Linked DNA regions of Canis lupus familiaris. The protein of the gene in region 2 purifies or fractionates together with the protein of the main gene of each other region. This does not show direct contact. Links are inferred from orthologs where the notes say so. Each region holds a gene or a part of one and is shown on either strand. Other genes may lie near its edges. The genes, in order: AP2M1, RALBP1 and REPS2.

Region 1 (9,778 bases), on a different chromosome or scaffold from region 2:
CCCTTACCAGTACCCGCCACCCCCACACCCCTACAACCCACACCCAGGCTTCCCAGAACTGGGGTACAGCTATGGTGGGGGCAGCGCCAGCAGTCAGCACAGTGAAGGTAAGGTGGAGGGGGTGGAGGGTGGTGCACAGCCCCAAACTGCTTCTGCAAGCTCTGAACATGCCCCGCTGGGGGCCTGCCTGTCGCCTATAGGCAGCCGGAGCAGTGGCTCCAACCGTAGCGGCAGTGACCGGCGGAAGGAGAAGGACCCGAAGGCGGGGGACTCGAAGTCGGGCGGCAGCGGCAGCGAGTCGGACCACACAACCCGCAGCAGCCTGCGGGGGCCTCGGGAAAGGGCACCCAGCGAGCGCTCGGGTCCTGCCGCCAGCGAGCATAGCCACCGCAGCCACCACTCAATGGCCAGCAGCCTGCGCAGCCACCACACGCACCCGAGCTACGGCCCCCCTGGCGTACCCCCTCTCTACGGTCCCCCAATGCTGATGATGCCCCCACCGCCCGCGGCCATGGGGCCCCCAGGAGCCCCACCGGGCCGCGACCTGGCCTCCGTGCCCCCTGAACTGACCGCCAGCAGACAGTCCTTCCGCATGGCCATGGGAAACCCCAGTGAGTTCTTTGTGGATGTGATGTGAACAGGACCCCTCCCCTACTTCCGTCCCACCCCTACACCTGGGCGGCTGCGTCCCTCTCTCCATCCGTCCATCTTTTTTACTTTGTCTGGTACCTGAAAGGGAAATAAATTGAACTAAATTCAGGCGCGCTAACTGCTCGCTGGGCGCAGTGAGGGCGGGGTGCACCCACCAATTGCCGCTGCGGCCCCTAACCTGCCACCGGACCCAGCTTGTCCCTCTACCCACTAACCGCTGCGCAGGACTCCCAGGACCCTTCATGTCACTGGGACCCGACTTGCTGGTGCTGCTCCTTATTCCCCACATACACTTCAAGAATTGACCCCCGCAGACCCCCTGAGGGCCTGTTCACCCCTTTATCCCCACGTTTCTCCCCTCAGGAACCTCGCACCTTTCCTTCCAGCTACATCCACCCTTCATTAACCGCATCGCCTCCAGCATGTGTGCCAATCTCTTAACTTTTTCCCTGCACTACTGACAACAAAAAATACTTGCTTCATCCACCCCCCCTCTAACTGCCCAACCCACCCTACTCCACCCCAGCCACTGCTTCAGTGCTGCATCCTAGAGCTGTGGTCACTTCCAGTAACCATCCACACTATCCCAGCCTGTGCTAGCCTTTACTAGAAGCCCAGAAAGGCCTCCTAAGTTGCCTGAGCTGCTAGCAGCTTCCAGGAAGCATAACTGTTCTACCCCTATATCCATACTCCCCCATGCCTGCTGTATGTGCTGGTTCCATCAGACCCCTAACCCTACTAACCAGGCTCATCTCACCTCTGGGCCTGAAACATTTCTTTTCTTTCTTTTCTCTTCCCTCAATTTTTCCTGGGCCTGGAGCAGCCAAGAATTTCGGGCTGTTTGACTTTCTGTGAGCCCCCAGCAAAGGGAGGCCCAGCCTCCGAGGAGACCAGAAGCCCTGCTTCAGCAGCCCCTCAGGGCTTCCCAAGGATGTTCAGCTCCCACACCTACACTTCAACATGTTGAGTCACTAGGCTTTTGTGGAGGGCTCCAAACTCTCACCCATGTATGAGAGACTCTGTTCCCCTTTCCCGAGAGTGCCCCATCTCTCTCTCTCTCTCTCTCTCTCTCTCTCTCTCTCTCTCTCTTTCTCTCTTTCTCTCACACACACACATACACACATGTGCCTACGCAAGTTCACTTAAGCCTCAGGGCTGGTCCCTACCCAGAGGGCCGGACCCTCTCTCCCAGGTCGTAGGGCTGGTCCCGACTTCCCTGTCCCCTCCCTTATAGCCCTCAAGCCTCCCACACATGTCCCCATCATCCTCCTACCTGGATAAAGCTCATAAGCTGGATCTCAGGTTAGGCTCTGCAAAGGACTTCCCAAGCAACTGACAGGTTGTTCTCACCCTGCCCCTTACCCCACACAACCTTCTGTGATTTCACAATCACTATGATACCCCAGAGAAAGGTTGGGTAGGGGGACTTTTGGGAATCCTGAATGCTAGGTTTTATTTTTTACCTTATTCTCCAGTTTAAGCAAATCATGACTTTCTCTTTAAGCCTCTTCTATAAATTCTCCTGGCTGACTGAGGCATCTATATTTTTAGGACTGGGGTGTCAAGAGTAGGATTCAGTCTTAAGCTCCAGGCTCTGGGGCAAACCAGGGTAGAGATATTTTGGCATTTATTCATTTAACAAGTACTTCCTGGGGTATTTGGTGACCAAGGGCTGTGTTGGAGGCATGACTCAGTCTTGCTTACGTTCTAGGAGCTCTAGATTTGCTCCCAACCAAGGCCATGGCTTTCTCCCACCACTACAGGACTGGTTCCTATACTTTTCCTTTTCTGATTCTGCCTTGTTCAACTCCCTTGAGAATTCCTCCACTATTGCTCATGCCTTCTATGTTGGTGCTCCCAGTGTTCCATCTTTGGTTCACTTCTCTTTCCTCTAAGTTTACTACCCAAATGGTGTCATCTATCCTGATGTCCTCAATTGCCACTGATACACTGGTGATTCTAAAATGCCTATCTCCAGCCACAACTTCTCTCCAAATTTTAGATCTGTGTTATCCACTGGACGTCACCATGGACATATCTATATGGACTCAACTCATTTCCCCCATCAAGTGTGTTCCTCCTTAATTCCAACTCTGATGATCTTTAGCACAGTCTACATAGGCATACCAGCTAGGAACATTTATGGACTTAAATTCTTCCCCAACTCTTACTAGTCAGCATATCATATCCATTCCACTTCAACAGTCTTTCTTGAATATGGTCCTTCTTCTCCCCCCGCCTCTACCCTAATTCATAGGAGCACGGGATTTGGAGTCAGGTTGTTCTGGGCTTGAATCCCAGCTCTACTACTTTTTGGTTTCGTGATAAGAGAGTTACTTAATCTCTCTGAGCCTCAATTCCCTCATATGTAAAATGATGATAATAATACCTACCTCACAGGGTTGTTGTGAGGATTTAAATTAGACTTGTACGAAAAGTGCCTAGCACAGTGCCTGGCACAGAGTAGAATAGGTGCTCAATAAATGGTAGCTATTATTATTACTACTACTACTATTATTATTTATTCTAAATTGGTAGGGTATTATTGATTGAAGATAAAGCTTTTGGAAAGGTAGCAGTGAAGATCTGAGTGCCGGTTCAAGATTTAGAAATGCCTGTATTCAGTCACTTAATGGATTCACATGGTGACCACTGTTTGAGGAAGGCCAGATCTTCATCCTGCCACATTCTGGCTTCTAGCAGGAGGATGCTGGGACAGTAGGGTTTGTAACCAGGTTTGCCCTTTTTTGCCCTTCCTCCCATGATGGGCTCAGCACCAGTGAAGGCATAAGGGAAGCTCTCCGTACAGAAAGAGAAGAGCTAACATTTTCTTCGGGTCCTGTAAAAGTCAAGCAGGGCTTTCATATCTGAGGGTTTGCTCTGTCTTTTCTTCTCAGCTTGGGTGTGAAGATTAACTCTGTTCATTAGAGAAGGGATTTCAAGTTCCATGTCCAGCTAAACTTGCCAGCAGTTTTTTAAGCAACATATATGCCATCACTAGAAGGCACACAGGTCCTGGCCTCAAGGGGTCACATAGGTATGTGTAGTTGGGATAGAACAGACATTCTTGAAAAGCTTTGGCTAGTTTCTTACAAGTATTTGCCTCCTCCATCTTTGCCCTTTTACTTGGGTCTTGATCCCTGGGAAGAGGCTCACATCTGGAACAAATATTTGATGAAAAGTCTTGGGAAAATCAGAGCTGGTGTTAGAAAGCAGTAAATTTAGTGCAAACACTTCTGCCAAGTCGTGTGTGTGTGTGTGTAAAGTGAGCACAGCCAGTGTTCGGACTCCAGAGACGGAAAAGGCCTACAGCAATCTCAAGCTTAACAGATGGGCTTCAACAAATGGCATTAATCCTCCGAAGCTCTCCTAGACGCTGAACAGGATGGATTGCAGACTACAATTCCCAGAATGCTCGGTAGGGAAAATGAAGCGAGTGGAGCGGAGTATGATGGGATGTGGCCACGCCTATCCCTCCCCAAGGCACGCCTAACCCGCTGAAGGCAGTCGGTAGTTGTAGTCTTCCTAAACCTAGAAAGGCTAAAATTGTAAGCTAGAAGGCCGAAGGGCCTGACGGGATTTGTAGTCGGCTCGGTCGCCGGACGCGCACGCGCAACTGTGTTCGGGGCGGGGCCACGGCACTGCGGTGAAAGCCGAGGCAGCGGGCTGGCGAGCAGGGGGCGGGCGGACATCTTGGGATCTGGAGAGTGGCCGGGCGGGCCGAGCAGGCGGCCGCGGACGCCAGGTAAGCTCGGAATCCGGCGGAGAGTAAGGGAGAACGCGTACCCCGCTACCCAGCTTTGCCCTTCCCTGCACTGCGCTGCGCGAAAAGCTGCCCACAGCCGGGAGGGGCCTCAGCCTTCTGATCTGGAGCTGACGGCGGGGCGGGGGCGCCCGGGGCGCGGTTGCAGGGTGGGCAGGGAGCGGCGCCCTCCACCGGCAGTCCGGCGCCTTCCGTGACAGGGAGACCTCCTGGGGTCCCCCCGGAGCCAGGATGCCGCGCGGCGCCCCCTTCCTCGGGATCGTGACAGCCCCCCTGGTGCCTTGGCGCCGCCTCCTCCCAGCGCAAGGACAATTCCCCCATCTCCTCGACGGTGACACCCCCTCGGGCCGTCTCCCTGGGCTGTGACAGGCCTCCCACCAGCCGCACCCCCTCCCCCCAGTTGAGTGACACCCCTCGGCTCTTCTTCCTCAGACCTGTGACAGCCCCCGCAGCCCCGTGGAGCCATGTTCATCCCCGCGATGTCTTGCTCCCCTAGACGAAGAGCCCACCCCCCGTCATGCCTCCACACTTGAACCCTAAAGCAAGTTAACGCCGCCCCAGCTTTCCCCTATTCGCCACTTGTCAGTCTCCTCCCTGCTGTTTCAAAGTCTTGACCTTTGCCACACTGGAAACTCCTTCCTCCAGATGTCCCCGTCCCCCCCCCCGCCCCCCAGCCCCCAGCCCCAGCCCTCTTGCTGCTGCAGGTTCACCTGACTAGACCGCCTGGCTCCTTCTGCCCGTCCTTCCCCTTAGCTCAGTATTCCCCTCCTGCCCTGGGCCCCACCTCCGCTCCTTCGGTGCCCTGCGGCCCCTACCACTTGATATCTGTGAACTTGCTTCTTTGCCCGGGGCTCTACCTCCCATTTTTCATTTCCTTTCCCAGCCTTTTTTGGGACTCTGGGGTGGAATGTGTCCACCACCACCTTGAGAGACCTCTCACTGAGTTGGGGAGACCCTGATGGCCTCAGTAATAGGGCTTTATTTTCCAGTTTAGAAAAGTCTGCTAAACTCCCTCTGCCCTGTAAAATCAATACCAGAGCTAATTCAGGAAATCTAGAATTAAATTAACCCTTTTTCTCCTTGCAAATATTTTGACCCAAATAATTTGGATAATGCACACCTATTCTCTGCCCCTTCCTTATAGGTACTCAGGCCAGAAATGAGTTATGTCATGGTTCTGGAATCATAGAATGTCAGCTGGATTGATCTTTGTGTTTTATAAACCTGTACTCCCACCCCCTTATTTTTACTGCACTTGGGAACTGAGAGGGATCCTCCCTTTTTGAAAGGGAGGTGGTTAAAAATAACTAATAAGCAGCTTGGGTCATTGAAGTGTAGTCGGCCAAGGCTGGGCCCTTTCTCCTCTGCTCTTTTGCCTGCTTATCTGACTGCCTGGGATTGGTTGGAGCCACACTCCAGGGTCTGTGTCAGGGCCTAAGGCCTCCCTTGTCTCCTCCCCACACCCTGCACACCCTTTCCTGGAATGTTTAGACTTCTGTGAATTAGAGAGCCACAGGTTCAGGCCCTGCTGTCTTCTCCGAAGGGTTAGTGGAGCCTGAGAGACCGGGTGCTCCTAAAGCCGTGCCTGGGGGCCCCAGGCCTGAACCAAGTGGAATAATTCCTACCGCCATTCCTGCAGCCGCAGGCAGGCCTTCCCAGTGACTCACCGGCTAGAGTCTGAGTGAGAGTCTGCACAGGAAGGGGCCAAAAAGGATCTGTGCTGAGCTCAGCACTGAAAAGAGGGGGAGGGGGCTACACTCTGGGCTCAGCCCCAGGAAAGGGAGGGTCAAAATGGCCTTAGAATCCTGGGCCCAAGTCCCTCTCCATTTCTTTCTCCTTTCCAGTGTGAGATAAACAGGAACTGGAGCCTGGCTAAGGGGAGGGGCATGCCTGGGGAGGGCTTCAGGGTCACTTACTGGAGGGTTGAGTCAGGAAAAAAAGCCCAGCCAGTGACCTGCACAGCCCCACAGGGGATGTTGGCAGAGGTTCTGAGGCCTTCCCTTACCCTGCCTCCGCCTGTCCTAGGTCTGTTCTCAGAGCGATGGGCCTTGGAGACTGAGCTGCCGCCATGATTGGAGGCTTATTCATCTATAATCACAAGGGGGAGGTGCTCATCTCCCGGGTCTACCGAGATGACATCGGGTGAGTCCCCTGGCTGAGCCAGCTGTGTCCCCACCCCTCATCCCTCCTCCCCAGCATGCAGGACCAGGTCCGTTCCTACCAGAGACTGGACTTTGGCCACCCCCATCCCTCGCTGCATCTTAGAAGCTCAGCTAATACAATCTGGTTCCCATTAGGTCTGGTGGTATTGGCCTGGCAGCCAGTTATTGGCCAATAGGTGGGACCTGTGGAATGGTGTGGCCCCCCACAGTCTTAGGAACTCTTGTCCTTCCTGCCTTCTCCTTTCCTTAGTGACAGACCTAGTTGCTAGAAATGAGTGCTTTTGCCCTGGTAGATGAATTCCTCCCTTGAGGAGGAGGGAGATCTTTCTCCAGGGGGTGAAGTTAGTGGACAGGCTAGTGGTACTAGTCCATCTAAGTCTTGCTCTCAAAAGCCCTTCTCACGGTGAGAGCCTTCACTGAATTCTCTTGAAAGCTTCTCCAGGCTGCCAAATCCTCTCCTACTCCCTTTCTCAGGAGGAGGCAGGCTGCTGACTCAGCTGTTTTCAGTTCCTCTGGGCCACTCCTAGAAGAGAGGTTGTGAGCAAGCTTGGGGCACTCTCCGGGTCACTGAAGGAAGGGCAGGGAGGCCATGCTGCCCTTCCTGGCCTACCAGAGTAGACCCGGAATAGCTCCTTGTTCTAGGTCCCTCAGACCTTAGCAAAGAGACACAGCCTGCCTTCTCACTCTGCCCCACACTGCATGCCACTATTCTTTCCTGAATGAGAGGACATGTCCTAGCCTCAGCAGCTCTAATGAGATTAGGCATCTCTGGTTCATGCTGCCCTGTTTTTCTTCCTCCAAGAGCTTAGGTTAAAGAGTTATAGGATGGGCCTGCTGCAGAGCCCAATAGCTTCTTGGCTCCCAGCTCCCTGGCTAGTGGGCTGGCCTGGCCTTTGTGGCTGTTTGTCCATTGGCTGGTGGTAGGGCATGAACTAGAGTTGTGGCAGTGCCTGGCTTGCCTGAACCTGGCTGGCTATACCCATCCACACCCCCTCCTGCCTGCCCTGGATGGACCTGCTTAAGCCAGGGCACCTACTGTCTTGCATGACTTGCTATGCTTTCCACCCCTTGCCTCTTGCTCGTCTGCTTCCACTTCATGGTGTGTGCAGCCTACCCCAGGATGTTGTGTGTCTAATCCTCTCTCTCGTTGCTGTCACTCTCCTCTTCTTGCTGGCGTCATTTCTCTCATCCCATCTCATTGGCTGCCGTAGCAATAGGTAAGCAGCCTGTCAAGCTGCCGCCCAGGCACAGGTGGGTGGGGGGCCCTGCCCCCCATCATTGTTTTCTTTGTCTGTTTTCATTCCCTGAACTTGTCCTGGAATTGGATCCTGGACGGGAACAAATGGCCCAGCTCCATGGCCCCTTGGTGCTTCTTCCTTAGATTAGATTAGAGCCTACTCTGAAGTTATGCTGGCTTTGCCTCACTTCTAGAAGAGCCAGACCTCCCACTGGTGGGATCACAAGTGGGAGAACTGAAGAACAAGCAAGTTGTCTTTGTCATTTGGGCCTCGAGCTTACTGAGAAGCTGGAGAGGTGGCAGCTGGGAAATTGGGACCTCAGCAGGCCTCAGGCCTCAGCATCAGGAACATGCCTCCTTAAGTGTGATGGACTTCACTTTATTAACACTATACCTGTTCTCCTGTCATTCCCACCTGACTTACCTGTCTCTGGTGGCCTTCAGACACCAGCCCAGCTCTGGTCCTATTCCCATGCTGGGAGCCACAAGGGAACTGCCCCAGTAGTTTAGGCTTTGGCTTCAGATTCATAGTACGTGTCAGACTTAAGCAGTGAAGGGATGAAAAGTTGTTAGCAGCTGTGGTTGATCCCCATGGAGTGGGGTTTGCCTGGGTGCTGAGCAGCCCCTGTGTACTCTTTTCCCTTAGGAGGAATGCAGTGGATGCCTTTCGAGTCAATGTTATCCACGCCCGGCAGCAGGTGCGCAGCCCCGTCACCAACATCGCTCGCACCAGTTTCTTCCATGTTAAGCGGTCCAACATCTGGTTGGCAGCTGTCACCAAGCAAAATGTCAATGCTGCCATGGTCTTCGAATTCCTCTATAAGATGTGTGATGTAATGGCTGCCTACTTTGGCAAGATCAGCGAGGAGAACATCAAGAACAATTTTGTGCTCATATATGAGCTACTGGATGGTGAGGCTGGCAGGGCGGTGGGCCTAGGGTGGGGATGAACCTGATGGGGCCTAGCCTGGAGGTAGGAGCACTTGTGAGGTTCCCTCCAGTGCCCTCTCAACTTTCTTTCCTGAATATCTGCTCTTTTGAGCCCTGAAAAGGCCAGTCTAAATTCAGCCCCAAAAGAAGCTCTGAAGTAGAAGAAATAGTGAGTGGAGGTGGGGAGAGGGGGCAGAGAACCAAAAGATTTTTCAGGGGGCTAGGAACCTATCTGGGGCTTGGTAGCTGGACCTCCTACAGTTAAGCATGTTTCCTTCTTACCTTTGTAGTTTGGGCCTTAGTTCACTGACTGTCCTTCCAGCTTTCTATCTCAACAGGCTCTGCCTCAGAGCCTGAAGGAGGTTGAGATATGACCGGCTTCTGGGGTTGCATTATCTTTGTTCCTTTGTAGGGTATGATTGAAAGGAACAGAGTCTTTCTACCTTCCCAGGGTCTGTTTGTTTTCTAAGGACTCAGAGCTTCTTGATCTCTCACCCACTGGCCATAAGATTCTTCTGCTCATTTTCTCTGTGAAAAATATCTGATGTTTTAATTGTTGTCTTATGAAGCACAAATCTCAAAGTAAATGCTACAAAGCTAGAGGACATTGCTGCAGATGATCCCACACTCTTCTAGAGCTCTGCTGGCCAGATTTGTCCAGGCCAAGGGAGATATTGGACTGAAGGAGCCTTCAGCTTTTTCCAGGGCTGATAGTTCCCTTCCTTTTGCAGAGATCCTGGACTTTGGCTATCCACAGAATTCAGAGACAGGAGCACTGAAAACCTTCATCACTCAGCAGGGTATCAAGAGCCAGGTACTCCCTTGTATAGCCACAGCAAGGGTTGGGCCCATCCTCCTCAAGCTCCCCCTAGCCTTGTCTCCGCTCACTCAAGAGCCCGCCTCTACCAGGAAGCACAGGCCTGAGCCCTCTACTGTGATTGCAGGCCAATTTTGCTGCATGTGGCCCTCCACCCTAGGAGCAGCCGACTCAGCATCTCTGTTACTGGGAATAGGGTTCAAACAGTTTCCTTCTGT
Region 2 (9,971 bases):
CTGTCTTTTTTTCCAGTGGATAGTCTTTCCTGCTTTGTTGAATATTAGTTGACCATAAAGTTGAGGGTCCACCTCTGGATTCTAATTTTTTTTTTCTTAAAGAAGGAGAAAATATAAGGTTTTTGATTATTTACAAAGGATCAAAACTCAGAATATCATTGGATTTTCCCACAGCAATACTAGAAGCTAGGAGGATTATAGCAAAGTCTTCAATGTCTTGAGGTAGAAGAATTTGTAATCTGTACTTGGCCAAATCCAGTCAGTTAATTGTCAGCATAGAAAAAAGATACTTTCAGCTTTGCGCAGTGGCAGTATCGTAGCCAATGAGGTTTATCCAAGGCGCGATTATTGCTAATTGAAAGAAAAAAGATACTTTAAACTATGTGAGGTGTGTTTGAGGGCCCATAGCTGGTGTATTAAATTAAGAATATGTAGATTATGACCTGCTGAGTGAAGAGGCACAAGAAACCCACACAGGGTTGACTGGTAACTGCCTCAGCATTTGAGCTCCCAATTTGAGAAGAAAAAACCTGGGGTCCTTTTGATCCAAGGCACAGTTTATTGTTTTTGTTTTTGTTTTTTTTAATTTTTAGAGAGAAAGAGAGCACATACTCCTGAGCGGGGGGAGGGGCACAGAGAGACTCTTCAGCAGATTCTCTGCTGACCAGGGAGCCCAACTCCTGTGATCATGACCTAAGCTGAAATGAAACTGAGCCACTCAGATGCCCCTGAAGGTGCAGTTTTAACACATACAATGGAAGTAAAATCACAAGATGTGCTACTTACAGATCCCAGAAGCAGGAGTAGGTGTGGGGTAGGGAGTGCAATGAGCTGGGGGAAAGGCAGTCCTCTGTCCCAGTGGCAAGGAAACAGAAAAATACTTTTATGTGTTTAGATTTATCTAGGCCAAAACCATGATCCATAAACTCATGATACAAATTATTATTTCTAAATAAAAAACCTCAACATTGTCACTAATAACTTTAAAAAGCAAGTGTTATACTTCAAAATTATGACATAAATTTTACCATTTCTCCCCCCCGAGATGATTAAATTAAGCACTGTCTCTGCAGAATATAATAGAAATGGAAATAATTTTACTATATTGGATGGATGCTTGTAAGGTAAATTTTTCATTTGAATCAGCTTTGTAGTTTATTTACTCCTAGACAATCTTTAGGATTAGAGGGAACTGGAGGGAAGATACTAGAATGTAGTTTTTACTCACATATGATTTATGGTTGTTTCAACTAAAAGGTGTCAATTCACACTAACTTACAGATCTTAGAGGTTATAAAATCATTCCTGCAGGAGCCAAGGAGATTCGAGAATTCTTGTCATAGATTGCAAATAAATGGACACAAATTCTTCCCAGTGCTTCCGTGTAGGTGGAGTCTATTTCTCCATCCCTTGAATCTGGAGCATGGCATATGACTTGGCTTGGCCAATGGGACATTAGTAAATGACATGTTTGCATGCTGAGAATACAAGTAACCTTAAGAAGATGAGAGACCATTGCAGAGAGAAGCTTAGCCATCCCAATTGCCCCAGATGAGTCCAACTCCCACCTAATCCACCAACTAACTATAACTGCAAGAGCAGTAGAATAGCTTAAAGCCACTGAGTTGTGGGGTGAATTGTTGTGAAGAGCAAATGTGAACTCTTACAGTTCGGACGCCTATTTTTGTCATGAGCTCTAAATAGTGTATCTTTTATATGATATATAAAACTATAACATTTTATTTAATATTCATTATTTATTAAATATTAAATTATAATCTATTTATTTAACAATATAAAAATAGGACATTTCAACTATGTAACAGTGCCATGACCCAGTGAACTGTTTAGGTGCCAGTCCCAAGGATACAGGCAACAAGCACTGGATTTTTTTACTCTGTTCATCCAAGGGTGGTGTAGTCTTTAGAATATTTAATCCAAGTCTCATATTTTTAAAAAAAGCATTATTGAAGTATAATTCTTGTACCATAAAATTGACCCTTTTAAAGTGTACTATTCATGAAGGATATTCTATTTTCTTGTGATGTTGTTGGTTTTGTTATAAGGGTGATTGTCCTCATAAAATGAATTGAGGAGTGTTCCTTACTCATCTATTTTCTAAAAAGGTATTGATAGATTTGGTATTATTTTTTCCCCTTAAAATATTTGATAGATTTCACCAGTGAAGACATTTGATCTGGCCTTTTCCCTGTGGGAAGATTTATATTTACTAATTCAAGTTTTTTACCCTGATATATGTCTATTTGGATCTTTTCCTTTTCTCTTCAGTTAGTTTTAGTAATTTGTTCTCTCCAGGAAAGCCTCCATTTTCAACTATTTTTAAAATTATCAGAATTATGATGCTCATAATATTCTCTTAGAATACTTTTCATTTTTGTAAGGTCTATAGTATTCTCTCTTCATTTCTCATTTTGGCAATTTAGGTCTCTTTCTTAGTCTAGCCAAAGGTTTATCAATTTGATATCTTCAAAGAGCTGACTTTTGGGTCTTTTTCTCTATTTCCTTATGCTTCAGATTTTTTGATTCCTATTTTTATCCTGTTTCCTGATTTCTACTTAATTTAGGTTTGATTCACTTCTCTTTTGCTACCTTCTTGAGATAGAAGCTTAGATTACGGTCTTTCTTCTAATTTTAAGCACTTAATGCTACTAATTTCCCTCTAAGCACAGTTTTGGCTGCTTCCCTTAAATTTGATATGTTGTATTTTTGTTTCCATTCAGTTCCAGGTATTTTCTAATTTTCCTTGTGATTTCTTCTTTGTCCTATGGATTACTTAAAAATATTAATTTCCAGTTATGTAGGGCGGGGGTTTCTCAAATTTGTTTTTGCTAATTCCATTGTGGAAAGAGAAAATAACTTGTATGTTTTCAGTCCTTTAAAATTTATAGAGATTTGTTCTGTGACTTGCCTTATGATGTATACTGGACAATGTTTCATTTGTCTGAAAAGGATGTATATTCTGCTGTTGGGAGTTTTCTGCATATGTCAAATATTTCAGTATTGGCTGATACTGTAATGAGGGTCTTCTATATCCGCCTTTCTTTTCTCTTGTTTATTGCTGAGAAAGAAATTTGAAGCCTCCAACCACAAGTGAATTGTCAATTTATCATTTCAAGGTCCATATAGCGATTTCACAAAGGGCTCAATAATGTCCAACTCAGGCCAGTGCCTATCCCTCGTCCCCATTAATGGAGCAAGGAGCACTTGTAACTGGCATCGTAAACATGCCCATCTCAGCGGTCAGCCGACACTCTTCTGTCGCCAGAGGGTCAAAAAAGAGCTCCTCAAACTGTCAGAAAACAGACCACGTCGGTATCTAATTCCAGGAGACTCTTCACCTTCAGGCTTAGGGGGATGAACTTCACTGGGTAGAAAACGCAGGGTATGGGCAGCCCGGGTGGCTCAGCGGTTTAGCGCCGCCTTTGGCCCAGGGCATGACCCTGGAGACCCAGGATCGAGTCCCGCGTCGGGCTCCCTGCGTGGAGCCTGCTTCTCCCTCTGCCTCTCTCTCTCTACCTGCGTCTTTCATGAATAAATAAATATTAAAAAAAAAAAAAAAAAGAAAGAAAACGCAGGATACAAGGGAGACTTGTTCTCAGATCTGTTAGCTTATCTGAGAGGTATAGCGCAAGACAGGTTACATAGGTTAATCGACATTATACAATGAATCTCTCGAGAGTATCGCACGTAGGAATGGAAATGATTGGGAAGAGCATTTAACCCAAATCATTCCCCTAATAATGAGCCAACCTTAATCAAACAAGAACACCTCAAAGGACCCGACTTCCAGCCATGCATTAGCAGAATAATTCTTCAAGCCTTGCTTAGGTTTCCCGGGGGGGAATTCAGTCATTTTCAGCCTTCCCTGCAACTCAAGTTATTTCTCTTCGCAACCTAACCACGCGGCTGGGCAGTCCTAATTCAGGTGTTCCCTGCAAACGTCGAGCCAAAGAGGGCGGCGGAAGACGGTCCCGCAGCCCAGCTCGAACCGAAGGCTGGCCCTTGCCAATTCAGGAATTCTCGGCGGGGTCTGCACACACAGTTTCACGCAGATTTCCCCTCGGAGGCCCACGGCCGGAGTCCCCACCCAGCCCAAGGCCGGGAGGATGCCCCACCCAGGGGCAGGCCGGGCCGGCCCCCGAGGCCGGTCTAACTGGTTAGGACGGCCGGAGCCTGCTGGCACAGAAGGGCTGCACTTCGGGAGCTGAGGAGCAGCCGGCCAGAGCGTGCAGAGAAAAGCGCTTCCCTTTCTCCAGACCACCGGAGGCGCTGCCCGCCAACCCGTCCTCGGCGATCTCCGCTCGTGGTAGGTAGGTGCCGCCTCCCACCCAGTCCCCCAAGACCGGGAACTGCGCACGCGCCCGCTGAGCCCTCCGCGGCGCATTCTCTCGCGCGCTCCCTCAGTCTCCTCAGCGAGCCTCTGGGCCGAAGTAGGCGCGGTGCTTCCTGGGTGTTGTAGTGTGGCTCCTCGACGGAGGGCCCTCTTGTAAACTGGGCGCTGGGCGTCCGAGAACTACGCCTCCCAGCGTGCCGCGCGCGAGGGCACAGGGCGTTCGCCCTTGACGGCTTTAGCCGTCAGCGCAGAGAGGAGGACCCAGGAAGCCGGCAGCGGCGGGAGGAGGGAGTGCGCTTGCGCGGTGGGCCGGCTCGTCGCGTTCTGTCCCAATCATTGTAAACAGGCGGAGGCTGGGGCGGGGTGGGAATGGGGCGCCCGAGGCCGGCTAGGGGCGCAGCGCAGGAGGCGCCTACGGTGGCTGCGGCGGCACGGTGAGCGCGAGGCGGCGGCGGCGGCGGCGGCGGCGGCGGGGCGGGCGGTCGCGCGGCGGCAGGCGCAGGTTGGTGGCGGGCAGCGGCGGCGCGCAGGGGTCGTGGCGGGCCCCGCGCCCCGGGGGAGCCTCTCCTGCGCGCCCCGCCGCGGCGTCTGTCAGGCGGCGCGCGGGGCTGGCGGTGGGGGTGGGGGGCGTGGCTGCCCGAGTGCGGGCTCTTCCCCGGCAGGCTGCTCCCCGGGGGTCGCCCGGCTGCCGGCCGTTCCTCCCACTTGCCGGCCGGGCCTCCCTCGTGGCGTCGGCATTTGGGATTCGGTGCTCTCGGGGTCCGGAGGGGGGAGTCGGGAGCCGGCCGCTCCCCGCGGAGTCCCCAGGCCTCGGCAGCGCCGGGACGGGGGACTCCGCCTTTTATATAATCACTCTTTCCTCATCGCCCCCGGAATATTGAGCGGCCCCAGGACCGGCCCGGTGCACCGGGACAAGGCTCCCGGGGTTTCCCTCCGCTGGCACGAAGCACCGGGGCTCCTTTGGGTGCTGCGCTCTCGCGTTCAGGTTTCCCTGCGGATGGACGGACAGATCTGGAGTTGAGAATTCCTTTTACAACTCAATTTCAAGTATGCTTGTGCCAAAACGCTCTTATTGAGGACACTTTTTTTTTTTTTTTTTTAAATCGTTGTAGGAATGGAACAGGTTTTTCAAAATACTCCACACCTCAGTCTTAACCTGAAGTAATTAAACGCTGTTTTGAGTTTTGGGGTTCATTCCTTCAGGGCCTCCCTCTTGGCCAAGCAGCTTGTTTCCTCTAAGGCCTGGTTGAGTCTTTGAAAGTAGTTAGAATGTTAACTCGAGGTAGTGTGCGTGTGCCTTGTAAGAGAGGCACAGTCGTCTGGACGGGGAGTTCACACATCATCCAGCCTCACCAGAAGAGCTCTCACTGAATACTTTGGAGTGGAGTGGGCATGCTCGCTTGCTGCAGCACTTTCCGTAGCCTTCCATCATTCTTGGCGGTTACTCATCAAGTATTTAAGTGGTGGTAAGGAGCACGCTGACTTTTGGGTTGGTGATCATGGAGGCAGCCCTGCTAACGCAAGCAAATGGGACTGTGAATAAGAAAAGTAACCTCCCTTGACGCCTTTCCGGTTGTCTTGGTGATTTGCTAGTTCCTTTCTGAGTGTCTTTCTGAAAATGAGTAATTGCTGTAAACGGTACTGGCAGTAGGAGAGGTAGGAAGGAAGTTAAAGTGGTTCCCACTTTTCAGAGTGACCCATAGATTTACGTGGGTGGACTAGTTTAATAGTAACTAACAACCGAGAAGTAATTCTTTGAACAAAGTGTCTCGAAGCAATGTGACATACTTGGCTCTTTTTCAAAATAGTATCTCTCATTTTAGATCTTATTTGGAAAACTAGAAGTAGTATCAGAGAATCAATACCAACTTTAATTTGCACCCTTATATTTGCACAGCTGTTTGCTTGGCAAGGGGAGATGGGGCTTGAAGGTATTCAAAAGTATGTTCTTTTTTTTTTTTGTTGTTGTTTCTTTTAAGATTTTATTCATTTATTCATGAGAAACTCAGAGAGGGAGAGAGAGGCAGAGACACAGGCAGAGGGAGAAGCAGGCTCCATGCAGGGAGCCCGACGTGGGACTCGATCCCCCGTCCCCAGGATCACAACCTGGGCGGAAGGCGGCGCTAAACTGCTGAGCCACCCGGGCTGCCCTGTTCTTTCTTTTTTTTTTGAAAGAAAATTCCTGATAGAAACTTTAGTATATGTGGAAGGAATAAAGAAGAACGCGGATCGTTTAGAGGAATTACTGTGTTAGCAGGTACTATGGCAGGTGAGGAGGACTTACAGATGGATAAGGCTGTGCCCCTGCTTTCTGGGTGATAAGACTTTATCTCTTACTTGAACTGTTAGCAAGTACAATATGTTTTTAAGATTACTTAGAGAAAGTATGGGGGTATAGAGGTGTACAAAGGAGATAGTGATCAGTTTCCTAAGGGAAGAGAGAGATGGAGGAAGGTGGCAGTGGTAAGGAGAAAGTGTGTACAGGAGGGGATGCAAACAGTAAGAAAGGACATTTAGGTAGAAGGAACAGTGTGAGCAGAAGCATGGGAGTCTCCGCTTCCATAGTGAGTTGTAGGATCTGCAGGTATAGCTAGTGGGCAGGGGCCAAATTATGGATGGTCTTATACACGGTTGAAGTAATTTCAACTTTTGTCTTACAAGCAAATAGAAGTCACTGAGACAGGATAGGGAAAACAGAGGCCTAAGCCAGCTCAGCCCATTTTAACTCCCTCCTATGTGTCTAGTGTTACATTAGGTACTTTATGCTTTATGTCCTTAAACTTGAAGGTTTAGGCATGACTGAGGCAGAAAATGAGGAACTTAAGGCAGAAGGAAAGCTGAATGTGATTAGAGAGCGTGGAACACTTCGGAGAGCTGGAAGCCATTGTCTGCAACTATAGCATTGGATTTATGGTGGTGAGTTGCACAAGAGGAGGCTGCACAGATAGATCCTTGAGTATTGCATGACATTCTAAGGATTCTAGAATTTTTTCCCCTAGAATATAGATAATAGAGTTTATGGATTTTAATCAGGAAAGAGTCATAAAATATTCATCTTAGATCATTCTGGTATTGTAGAGTGCAGATTTCAGAAGGGATGGAGGGAAGATACGGCAGGGTGCAGAAAGACTGGTTAGGAGTTTTTGTACTAATTGAGGTGACAAAAAAAAAAATAATTGAGGTGGCAAGTAAGGTCCTCAGTTAAACCAAGGCAGAGTCAGTGGAGATGCGAAACAGTAGATTAATAGCACAAACGTTTAGAAGGTAGAATTCAGAGGATTCAGTTACAGTTGGATTTTAACTTGGATCATTGAATAGACAGTGGTAAACTGCAGTTGACCCTTGAACAGTGTGAGTGTTAGGGACACCAGCCCTCCCCTTGCAGACCTCCCCCTTGCAGTCTAAAATCCGCATATTACTTTTGACTCCCCCAAAACTTAACTACTAATAGCCTATTGTTGACTGGAAGCCCTACTGATAACTTAAGGTCAATTAACACATATTTTTATATATTATGTATTGTATACTATATTTTTACAATAAAGATAAAGAAAATGTTACTGAAATCATAGGGAAGAAAAAATACATTTATAATGCTGTATATATGTGTGTGTGTGTGTGTGTATATATATATATACATATATATATATATATACACACATATATATATATATATATATATAAACAACCAAACACATTTGAGTAGACCCACACAGCTCAAACCCTTGTTGTTCAAGGGTCAACTGTACTGACACAGGGACTTCAGGAAGGGGAGCCAACTGGGGGGAGGAACAGTATTTCAGCTTTTGGATATGTTGAGGAGTTGTCTATGAAACATCCAGGTGAAGCATCAGCTATAGAGTTGGGTGTGTGGGTTTGGAGTCGAAGAGAGAGGTCTTGCTCTGAGGGTCAGCAGGCTATATTATAGGTGGTAGCTGAAATCTTTGATTTCTGTAATACCATGTAGGAAGAGCTTACCAGTGGAGTGTAGTTCTGGAAATAGACAATGGAGAATAACATTTAAAGCCAGATAGAGGAAGAAGACTTGGAAAGGGAAATTCCTAAGTATTTAGAGATGCAAGGAAGTCATGAGAAAATGTCATATAAGCCAAAATGTAATCATTTCAAAGGGAAGCTATGCTTCACTACTAACTCTCCAGAAAAAAGAAAAAAAATTTAAAATAGGAAGCTGTACTTCAAATGCTTTGAGAACTTGAGTAAAACAAGGATTATTAGGAGTCTGTTGAATTTGATAACTAAGAGCAGTTTTGTAACCTTCTACTTAATGCTACCATTTGGGGAAGGGGCTAGTTTCTTTGAATTGGGAAGTTAATGGGAGATCAGAGAGTGAAGAAAGTAAATGTGGATTATTTCAAGAATAAACAAATCTTAGCTGTGACAGGAAGACTGGAAAGAGGTGTTAGCAGATGGTAAAAAGGTTTAAGAGAGTGATTTTTAACATGGCAAAGACTTGAACCTGCTTTTTTCTTATGACAGTTTTATTGAAATGTAATTCATATAAAATTCATCCTTTTAAAGTGTACAATTCAGTAGTTTTTAGTATATTTGCAGAATTATGCAGCCATTTCCACAGTCAACTCTAGAACGTTTTAATTACCTCAAAAAAGAAACCTTTTACTCATTATCAACCACTCACCATTTCCTCTGCTCCCACCCATTAGCAACCACTGATCTGCTGCTGTCTCTGGATTTGCCTGTTCTGGACATTTTATATAAATGGAATCACATATGTGATTATTTGTGACTGGCTTCCTTTTCTCAGTATAATGTTTTCAAGGTTTATCCGTATTGTAGCATATATCAGGACTTCATTTCTTTTTATTGCCAACTAGTTTTCTATTCCTGAGTTATACCATGTTTTGTTTATCCGTTGATCAGCTGGTGACTGTTTGAGTTGTTTCTCCTTTACAGCTATAGTGAATAATACTGGTACTGATACTCATGTGCATGTTTTTATGTGGATGTATGTTGCTCCTAGGTGTATACCTAGGAATAGAATTGCTAGATCATATGGCTACTCTTATGTTTAACGTTTTGAGGAACTATCAAAGTGTTTCCCAAAGCAGCTGCACCATTTCATTTATGCAGTGTAAGGATTCTGATATCTCTACAACTTTACCAACACTTGTTATTTTCTGGCTTTTAAAATTTTAGCTGTCCTAGCTTGTGTGAATTGGTATCTCATTGTGGGTTTGATTTGATGATGTTGGCCATGTTTTCGTGTGCATATTGGCCATTTGTCTATTTTCTTTGGAAAAATATCTATTCAGTTTCTTTGCCCATTTTACAGTTGGGTTGTTTGTCTTTTTGTTGTTGAGTTGTAAGTGTTCCTTTATATATTCTGGATGCTAGAACCTTTTCAGAATATGATGTGCCGATATTTTCTTCCATTCTTTAGGTTGTCTTTTTACTCTCTTGATAATACCCTCTGTTATACAAAATTTTAAAATTTTGATGAAATACAGTTTATCCATTTGCTTCTTTTGTTACTCATGATTTTAGTGTCATATCTAAGAATCCATTGTCAAATCCAAGGTTGTGAACATTTACACTATACTTCTTCTAAAATTTTTTTGGTTTTAGTTTTTATATTTAG
Region 3 (10,032 bases), on a different chromosome or scaffold from region 2:
ATATTTGAAACTGAATAAACTCAAACAAACTGAAGAATAAAAAACATTTGCATTGGAATGTAAACTCCATGAGGACAGGGATTTGTGTTTGATCCATTGATGTAATCTCAGTACCTAGAACTGTGCATTATGAGTAACAGAAACTCAAATACATGTCAAACCCAAACCTGATTCCCACCACACCACCCTATGCCATCTAGTAAAATGCTGGTCTTTGAATACCAATGAAATACTTCACAACCTGGGAAACCAATCGCTCTAACATTTGTAGATCGTTGTCTTAAAAACCGTTTCTCAGACATTCATATTAACTTTTTCTAATTTATTTTTTTAATATATTTTATTTACTTATTCATGAGAGAGAGAGAGAGAGGCAGAGACACAGGCAGAGGGAAAAGCAGGCTCCATGCAGGGAGCCTGACGTGGGACTCGATCCCGTGTCTCCTGGATCAGGCCCAGGGCCGAAGGCAGCACTAAACCACTGAGCCATCCAGGCTGCCCAAATTTTTGTAATTTAAAAGGATATCGTCCTACCATTTTTCACCTAGTACTGAAATTTGGCTTTTAAATAAATCAGCACATGAAGATAAATACTCCAAAAATAGGACCAAAGATCTTTTTAAAATAGGCTATTATGGGGATCCCTGGGTGGCTCAGCGGTTTAGCGCCTGCCTTTGGCCCAGGGTGCAGTCCTGGAGTCCTGGGATCGAGTCCTGAGTGAGGCTCCTGGCATGGAGCCTGCTTCTCCCTCTGCCTGTGTCTCTGCCTCTCTTTCTATGTCTATCTTGAATAAATAAAAATCTTTTTAAAAATAAATAAATAAAATAGGCTATTATGATGCATTAAAATATAATTCAAGAGGGCAAATACACCACCTTCAGCCCAGGGCGTGATCCTGGAGACCCGGGATTGAGTCCCACATGGGCTCCCTGCATGGAGCCTGCTTCTCCCTCTGCCTATGTCTCTGCCTCTCTCTCTCTCTCTGTGTGTCTCTCATAAATAAATAAAATCTTAAAAAAAAAAGATGGCAAATAAGTATATGACATGATGCTCAACATCATGTCATTAGGGAATTGCAAATAGGAACAACAATGAGATATCACTACATTCCTTTGGTCAAAATCAAAAACACTGGTATTGTTAAATACTGCTGAGAATATGGAGCAACATGAACTCTCATGCATGGCTGAGGGGATTGCAAAATGGCACAGCCACTTTGGAAGACAGTTTGGCAGTTTCCTATAAAACTAAAGATACTCTTACCATATGATCCAGCAATCATACTACTAGGTATTTACACAAAGGAGTTGAAAACTTAAGTCCACACAAAAACCTGCACACAGGTATTTATGCCAACTTGAGCCATAACTGCCAAAACTTGAAAGCAACCAAGACGTCCTCTAGTTCATGAATGGATAAACTTTGGTCCGTCCAGACAATGTAGTATTATTCAGCACTAAAAAGAAATAAGCCATTAAGCTATGAAAAGACATGGAGGAATCTCAAGTGCATATTATTAATGAAAGAGGCCAACTGAAACGATTACATACTGTGTTTTTCTAACTATATGACATTCTTTAAAAGTGCAAAAATATAAAGACAGTAAAAAGATCAGTGGTTGCCTGGGGTTGGGGGTTGGGGGTAAGAGGAAGGGATGACTGTGCGGAGCAGAGAGCATTTTTAGGGGCAGTGAAACTATTCTGTATGATATTTTAATGGTAAATACATGTTATTATACATTTGTCCAAACTCATACAATGCTCAACACCAAGAGTGAACCCTAATGTAAACTATGGACTCTGGGTAATTATGATATGTCAATGTAGGTTTATCAATTGTAAAAAATGTACCACTCTGGAGGGAAGTTTTCCTAATGGGAGAGACTGTGTATGTGTGTGATCAGGAGGCATTATGGGAACACTATGCACCTCTCCTTCAATTTTGCTCTGAACCTAAAACTGCTCTAAAAAATTGTCTTAATAAATATATATTTTTTAAAAAAACATAAGAACGTACAACACCAAGAGCAAGTCCTAATGCAAACTATAGACTTTGAGCAATAATGATATGTCAATGTCAACAAATGTACCAGTCTGGTGAGGGATGTTGATAATGATGGAGGCTGTACATGTGTGCTGGTAGGGTATGTATGGGAATTTTTGTACTTTCCCCATTACTTTGCTACAAATATAAAACTGCTCTGAAAAAAATAAAATTTATATATAATATTTCAACAGAAAAATTCTTTTTTTAATTTATTTTTTATTGGTGTTCAATTTGTCAACATACAGAATAACACCCAGTGGTCATCCTGTCAAGTGCCCACCTCAGTGCCCGCCACCCAGTCACCCCCACCCCCTGCCCACCTTCCCTTCCACCACCCCTAGTTCATTTCCCAGAGTTAGGAGTCAACAGAAAGAAATTCTTAACATAACTTTCATGACAAAGTAACAGGTATATTTTTACTGCAAGGAGGAGACAAAATTAAGTATTTTTGTAAAACATTTACTCCAGGTAAGATTTTCACTCTGCCTGAAACATCATGGTAATCTTAATTATATGCTTATTAAGATAAAAAATCTGGCTGTTACCATAGAAATTACCAGGGATGGTTAGTGCCTCCATGATTTGAGCAGTTATACCTGTTGGGCCACTTAATTCTGAACTTACAGGTTCATGTTTAACAGGGAAAGGCTAAAAATGTCTACATTTGTTTTATTTTTTTTTTTTTTTTTTTTTTTTTTTTTTAATTTTTATTTATTTATGATAGGCACACAGTGAGAGAGAGAGAGGCAGAGACACAGGCAGAGGGAGAAGCAGGCTCCATGCACCGGGAGCCTGACGTGGGATTTGATCCTGGGTCTCCAGGATCGCGCCCTGGGCCAAAGGCAGGCGCTAAACCGCTGCGCCACCCAGGGATCCCTCTACATTTGTTTTAAAGAATGGCTAATACACTCATGGGGAAATGCAAATTGAGGTAAATGGAGCATGCACATACACATCAAGATACAACACACCACACCACACCATACCACACATCACCAAAATGGTTGGTAAAACAGGTGACTGCTGAGTGCTACCTTTGCTTGAATCTCTTCTGATTACATTTCCCTGTCCAGGATGCCTTTGATGTTCATTTTTACCTGCATGAAGAATACTGGACTATTGCAATTATATTAGGTTAATTGGGAAGGATGTATTTTATTTTGCTGGACTGAATAACAGAGCTTAAAGCTCTGAGAGATTTACTACAAGCAATCTTCTAGGCATGTCCCCCTTTGCCAACATCTGAAGCAGTCTTCTGCAAGCAGGTTTCAACTGGACATCAAGAGTATAACATCATTCATGCAAATGCACTGTGCCTTGGGTTCTTTCTAAATCATATATACTTCAAAGGAGCGTGTATTTTTTCTAACACCAGGAAAGTCCCCTCCCCAATTCCTTAGGAGTGGGGAACCAACACATTCACATTTAGCATGTCCGCTTTCTCTTATCACAGTACATGTATTACTGACTACAAAATAGGTCTTGGCAGGTGCCCAGCTGTCATTTACTTGCTGTGTGGCCTCAGTCACTCATTCCTTTTTCAGTTGAAAAGTTGCAAGAGCATTTAATAAATTTATATGGTTGGGAATATTCTGAGGGCCTCAAGTAATGGCCATGGTTTGTGTTTTAATACACTCACTTTTTTTTTAAGATTTTATTTATTTATTCATGAGAGAGACAAACAGACAGAAACACAGGCAGAAGGAGAAGCAGGCTCCCCGAAAGCAGCCGGATGCAGGACTCGATTCCAGATCCTGGGATCACGCTCTGAGCCAAAGGCGGACGCTCTACTGCTGAGCCACCCAGGCGTCCCAAGACACTGACTTTTTGTGTCTACCTAGTTCAGCTCAACCACAAACAGCAATTGCAGAACTTTCTACATAGAAAAGACTTCTTTAAAAAAAAAAAAAGGACTACTTAAGGGCTAAACAGCCATGCTAAGTTCTGTGAATACTAATTACATTTTCAGAAATCCTTTCTAAAAGGTGAAAGAGGGGATCCCTGGGTGGCTCAGCGGTTTAGTGCCTGCCTTTGGCTCAGGGCGAGATCCTGGAGTTCCAGGATCAAGTCCCACATCGGGCTCCCTGTATGGAGCCTGCTTCTCCCTCTGCCTGTGTCTCTGCCTCTCTTTCTGTGTCTCTTTCATGAATAAATAAATTAAATCTTTTTAAAAAATAAGATAAAAGGTGAAAGATTACAGAGTGGCTAAAGTTATGCTCACAGACATATAGGCATATGCATGCTCCAGCAGCATAAAGCAGTCTTAAATGGTAAGAAAAACGACCTACAAACACAGTGACATTGTAACTGAGCCATAAAATCCTCACTAATCCTCTGAAACTAGATTTTAAAATACCACTTCCCACTCCAAATATTCAATTGATGTTAACTTTTATACTACTGCTTTCAAGAAAAGCTTCATTTCCATGCACCCCTGTGTTTATATTTTATAGCAGCATTCTTACAACAGCCATGATATGGAAGCAGCCTAAGTGTCCATGTCCATCAATTGATGAATGATAAAGATGTGTGTATATGTTTATATATGTATATGTTTATACACACACACACAACGAAATTTTTTTTCGCACAATGAAATATTATTCAGGCATCAAAAAGAATGAAATCTTGCCATATGCAATGACATGGATGGAACTAGAGTACAACGCTTAGCAAAATAAGTCAGAGAAAGACAAGTACTATATGATCTCACTCATATGTGGAATTTAAGAAACAAACAAATGAGTAAGAGACAAATCAAGAAAGATACTATTAACTATAGAGAACAATCTGATGGTTACCAGAGGGGAGGAGTTGGGGGGATGGGTGAAACAGGCGATGGGGATTAAAGAGTGCGCTTGTCCTGATGAGCACAGGATGATGTATGAAGTACTGAATTACTATATAGTACACCTAGAACTAATATGACACTGTATGTTAACTGGAATCAAAATTAAAACTTAAAAAATAATTGAAAAAAGCTTCATTTCATGTTTTGGGCCTGATTTTAAGAATCTTATCAACATGGGACGCCTGGGTAGGTCAGCAGTTGAGCACCTGCCTTCAGCCCAGGGCATGATTGGGCTCCCTGCATGGAGCCTGCTTCTCCCTCTGCCTGTGTCTCTGCCGCTGTCTCTGTGTCTCTCATGAGTAAATAAAATCTTAAAAAAAAAAAAAGAATCTTATCAACATGAAAGCCTGGTGACATCAAAAGACGATGGTTATCAAATAGTCTTTCTCCGAGCTCCAAGGAAAGCACAAAACAAAAACAGCATGTGCTGTGGATCATCCCCTCCTCCTCTTCCAGGTATGGAGCAGCTAAAAGGAGGTAGCTGTGACACACATTACTTTCCAGTTCTGTTTCAAGTGCATGCAATAAGATGGGAAACTACAGCTGTCTCCTATGCTGGACCTCTGGGGTCTATCTCTGGCCCTAAACAGTAAGCTTGGCTTTGCCTTGACTGACATCCTCTTACAGCCCTTTGTCCCTGCTCTGCAACGTGTTAAGGCTTTCCAGTTTAATATCAATATTCAGAAGTACATTAGTGAGCAAATACATATAGTAGATATATATATATATATTAATACGTACATGGGGCGGACAACATTGAGTTCTGGGCCCCGCTGTATACACACACACACTTACCTAAACACACACTTGGAAGTTCAAGTTCCAGCAAGGCACCCTGAGCACCTACCCCCTTCCACCCACCCAAGGGAGGGAAAGGCAGGAGCAGCGAGCAGAGGTTAAACCAGACACCAGCCAAAACAAACAGCACTTCCAGAACAAGGCAAACTTTGGGTCTGGGCGGCTGCAGAGCCCCAGCAATGGCCGGGGGAGGGGAGGGAGCGTCAGTCTGTCTCAGGGGAGGAAGACGGGGAGCGCACCCTCCAGAGCTGCGGAGGAGGCTGGTGCTCCCTGGGGGACAAGGGCGTCGCCGCCATCCCCGACTTCGACCTGGCCGAGGCCTCCAGGTCCTTGAGCAGCCCTATCGGCCCACCTCGCCCCCTGATCTCCACAGAAATGGTCCCCACAGACAGGCGCCGGCTGAGGGCGCGGGGACATACCTGGTGCAACGTCTCGGCGGGCAGCTGCGACGCCCGGAACAGGTCGGCCACGGGGCCCGCGGCTGCGGTGACGGTGCCGGGGACGGTCCTGGCGGCCTCAGGGGGCCCGGACCCGGGGCCCCCGCCTGCGGCGCCGGCGCAGCGCGCGAACAGCTCGGAGTAGCACTGCTGCTCGCCCTCGCTCAGCAGCAGCGGCGGCCCGGAGCCGCAGCCCCCGCCCGCCGCTGCCTCCATGGGGCCGGGAAGGGGGTCCGGCGAAGCACCGCCACCGGGTAGGGAACAGCTGCCTCCGCCTCAGCCTCCGACGCCTGGGTCTCGGCCTCGGCCGCCGCCACCGCCCCCACGCCCCGCAGCTGCCGCGCCGCCGCTTCCTCCCGGCGCGCGCCGGCCCCGCCCCCAGACTTGAATGTTGTGCCTCCGCCGCGCGGCACATGGAGACAGGCGCGGGGCGAACCAATCGCAGCCTGGGATCGTGCCCCGGCCCCGCCCCCGCCGTCCGCCCCGCCCCGCCTCGCCCCGCCCCGCGCCGCGCCAGGTAACTAACTCCGCCGGCCGCCCGCCCCGCCCGCGCTGCCCGGACCGGGAGGCCGGGGGCCAGCGCCTGACGCACCCCCGGAGCCCCGCAGGGGCGCCTCCGGCTCTCCGCCCTGGCTGGGAAGGGAGACGACTAGACCCACCTGGAGCATGGCGCTTTTCAGGGGGCGGAGAAAGCTGTGGTGGTTTTTCCCTAGAACTGGAGCAGGTGCGGCGCCCTTCGCAGAAGAGGGGGGAGACAGGAGAAATTAAGCTTCCCTTTTTGCATAGTGCGCTTCTGTCCTGAAAAGCTGGAGGACAGAGATCTCCAGAAGAACTGCTCGCAGTGACTCCGCTTAGCATTCATGGTGGAGATGAGGTTAGGCTACTTTCTCAGGTATGGCTCATACCTGGAGTTGTGCCTTAAAAAGGAATACCGTCAGTTAGTGTTAAATACTAGAGTGATAAGAGTGAAAAGGGGCCCTGGGAAGAAGAATTGCATATATATATATATATATATCATATATATCACATATATATCATATATATCATATATATATCACAAAGAAAAAATGAGTCCAGAATTAAGCACTAATAAAAAATACAATTTCAAATTTAATAAACAGACATATATAAACCTTTCACCCCAAAATAATTTTACTTTAACTAAAAACAAACACTATCTCAAGAAATAGCACTGATGATAACAAATATACTTTGGTATGTTGGTCAAACTAAAATAAGGAGGAAGGACAAGACTGAGAAAAAAAATCAACAAATGGTGAAGGGGGAAGAAATACATAAGAAATAGATAACAAAAATGATTAGAGTGCCTGGCAGGTTGATTAGGTGGAGCATATGACTCTTGATCTTAGGATCATGAGTTCAAGCCCCACTTTGGAAATAAAGTTTACTTAAGTAAAACAGGGGGTTTTTTAACAAAAAAAAAAAAAAGAAGAAGAAGAAGAAGAAGAAAAATTATGTCAATCCATAAATGGTGACCAGAGTAAGATTTCCCTTTTGGAATCTAAGGACATGAAATAGAGAAGAAGATCCACTCTAAAAGCAGGAAGTTCTCATCTCTTCACTAAGATTTCCTTATACCACATTTTGCTTTACAGCTACCAGGAGAGAATTAAGCTTGTGGACAAGAATACAGAGAGGATAGGTAAGTAAGGAACAGCAAAGACTATCTTAGCTGGGGAATTACCATTTTAAAATCTCACCACCTCCTGTATTTTCCAAACTGTGATAATTTCTAAGGAAAACTGGAAGCCAAGAGATCATGTTTACGCCCTTCCTACCTTTTTAGTTACATCCTTGGGATTCCCTGAGAATCACCCACTATTCTTTTTTTTTTATCACCCACTATTCTAACAGAGGTTAGAAAGGGACTCACCCTTTGTGATAAAAGCCAAAACCTACTTTCCCCTGTGACACCTGGAAAAAGAAATGTGAGATATAATAATCCCTAATATTCATACAGTTCAAAGCTACATTATCTCATTTAAGACTCACAGTAACTCTCTGAGGTAGATTGGGAAAACATTTTCATCTTCATTTTGCAGATGAGAAAATGGATGCAGAAATGGTGTGATTTACCCAACTGAATACTAGATTCGAAGCTGCTCTTCATTATTCAACTCAGTTTAATAAATTTGACAGATACTCATCAGCACTGCAGATCCTGCTGAAATGCATAGAAAGCCTTACATCTGTGCCTATCCATCAAGCAGCACTTATTGGTAGAACAGGAAGTATTAACTGTGTCCCTACGGGGGTACTGTGAGGGATTAAAAAAAAATACAAGACGTGTTCCTTTCAAGGAGTCTGCAGCTTCACTGGAAAAGACAAAACTAACACAACAAAGAAAAACAAACAATAAAAGACAATGTATAATTAAGTGCTAAATCGTGTACCCCAGGCTAAGCGCTGTGGGAGTTTAGAGAAGAGAGAAAATCCAGGAGCCAGAGCCCAGCCAGGAAGGCTTAATGAAGAAGGCACCCAGATGGATTATTGACAAATCGGAGGGACTGGGGGAGGTAAAAGGAAGGACAAGAGAGGGAGGCTCACAGAAGAGGGAGGAGCCCCAGGGTTGAGGCGCCAAGACAGTGGTGAGTGTGAGACAGCAGACTGGCATGGGAGGGAGGGAGATGGCGGGTAGAGGTGGGGGGAGAGGGACAGCCTCTCTGGGGCTCTAGGATCCCAGAGGGAAGGTGCTCAAATGGAAGACAAGAGACAGAAGTGACCCAACAAGAGTTACATTTAAACCCAGGATGCAGGAGGGGAAAATGGCATTTTTTAAATGTTTTAATATCTAAGGAATGCCAAGTACTGTTCTTTATTTCAGTAGTTTTTTGAGTAAAAGCAATAGTGATCACACTTTAGAGTTAACACAGATACGAATGTAAAAACTAGAAACACTCATATCCCTTAAGGCTGACGGTAAACAAGAATTTTTTTAAAGATTTTATTTATTTATTCATGAGAGACACAGAAAGAGAGGCAGAGACATAAGCAGAGGGAGAAACAGGCTCCCTACAGGGAGCCTGATATGGGAATTGATCCCAGGACCCTGGGATCACAACCTGAGCCAAAGGCAGATGCTCAACCACTGAGCCACCCAGGTGCCCCAAACAAGAACGTTTTAGAAGAGAATTTCTTTTTACTTTTTACAATTCTAAATTTACACACTTGTTTGGGCTCCATCATAGCAAAAGGCCACAATGATAATATAGTTGACCTTGAAACAAGGCAGGGATTAGGGGCACTGAACACTGTGCAGTTGAAAATACACATATAGGGCAGCCCTGGTGGCGCAGCGGTTTAGCGCCGCCTGCGGCCCAGGGCCTGATCCTGGAGACCCTGGATCGAGTCCCACATCAGGCTCTCTCTGTATGATGCCTGCTTCTCCTCTGCCTGTGTCTCTGCCTCTCTCTGTCTCTATGAATAAATAAATAAAATCTTAAAAAAAAAAAGAAAATACACATATAACTTTTGACTCTCTAGGAACTTAACTAATAGCCTCCTGTTGACCAGAAGCGTTACCCGATAGCAAACACAGTTGATTAACATATATTTTGTGTATATATTACATACTATATTCTTACAATGAACTAAGCTAGAGAAAAGTGTTTTTAAGAAAATCATAAGAAGGGCACCTGGGTGGCTCAGTATGTTAAGTGTCTGCCCTTTGGCTCAGGTCATGATTCCAGAGTCCTGGAATCAAAACTGGCATCTGGCTCTCTGCTCAGTGGGGAGTCTGCTTCTACCTCTCCTTCTGCAGCTCTCCCTGCTCCTGTGCGCTCACTCTCAAATAAATAATCTGTGATCTTTTCTTAAAAAGAAAAGAAAATCATAAGAGAAAAAACATTTACAATACTGCACTGTATTAATGGGGAAAAA

The links.
Region 1: the proteins of RALBP1 (region 2) and AP2M1 purify together in Homo sapiens (affinity purification with mass spectrometry; 3 studies listed by BioGRID and IntAct, counting the BioPlex papers as one, with this or other methods). This does not show direct contact. The link is inferred for Canis lupus familiaris from reciprocal best matches to the Homo sapiens genes RALBP1 and AP2M1.
Region 3: the proteins of RALBP1 (region 2) and REPS2 purify together in Homo sapiens (affinity purification with mass spectrometry; 3 studies listed by BioGRID and IntAct, counting the BioPlex papers as one, with this or other methods). This does not show direct contact. The link is inferred for Canis lupus familiaris from reciprocal best matches to the Homo sapiens genes RALBP1 and REPS2.

Annotation. Positions count from the first base shown.
Region 1 is NC_049255.1:17,238,558-17,248,335, forward strand, and holds the start of AP2M1 (AP-2 complex subunit mu), read left to right. Parts: upstream 1-4,277; 5' UTR 4,278-4,396; intron 4,397-6,439; 5' UTR 6,440-6,482; coding exon 6,483-6,556; intron 6,557-8,459; coding exon 8,460-8,725; intron 8,726-9,474; coding exon 9,475-9,557; intron 9,558-9,778. Other genes in the region: DVL3 (segment polarity protein dishevelled homolog DVL-3), read left to right, coding at 1-107, 201-611, 1,475-1,506.
Region 2 is NC_049228.1:75,537,684-75,547,654, forward strand, and holds the start of RALBP1 (ralA-binding protein 1), read left to right. Parts: upstream 1-4,193; 5' UTR 4,194-4,331; intron 4,332-4,644; exon of another isoform or gene 4,645-4,788; intron 4,789-4,821; exon of another isoform or gene 4,822-4,856; intron 4,857-9,971. UniProt on the Homo sapiens protein: Multifunctional protein that functions as a downstream effector of RALA and RALB. As a GTPase-activating protein/GAP can inactivate CDC42 and RAC1 by stimulating their GTPase activity.
Region 3 is NC_049260.1:13,171,510-13,181,541, reverse strand, and holds the start of REPS2 (ralBP1-associated Eps domain-containing protein 2), read right to left. Parts: upstream 6,419-10,032; 5' UTR 6,349-6,418; coding exon 6,115-6,348; intron 1-6,114. UniProt on the Homo sapiens protein: Involved in ligand-dependent receptor mediated endocytosis of the EGF and insulin receptors as part of the Ral signaling pathway. By controlling growth factor receptors endocytosis may regulate cell survival.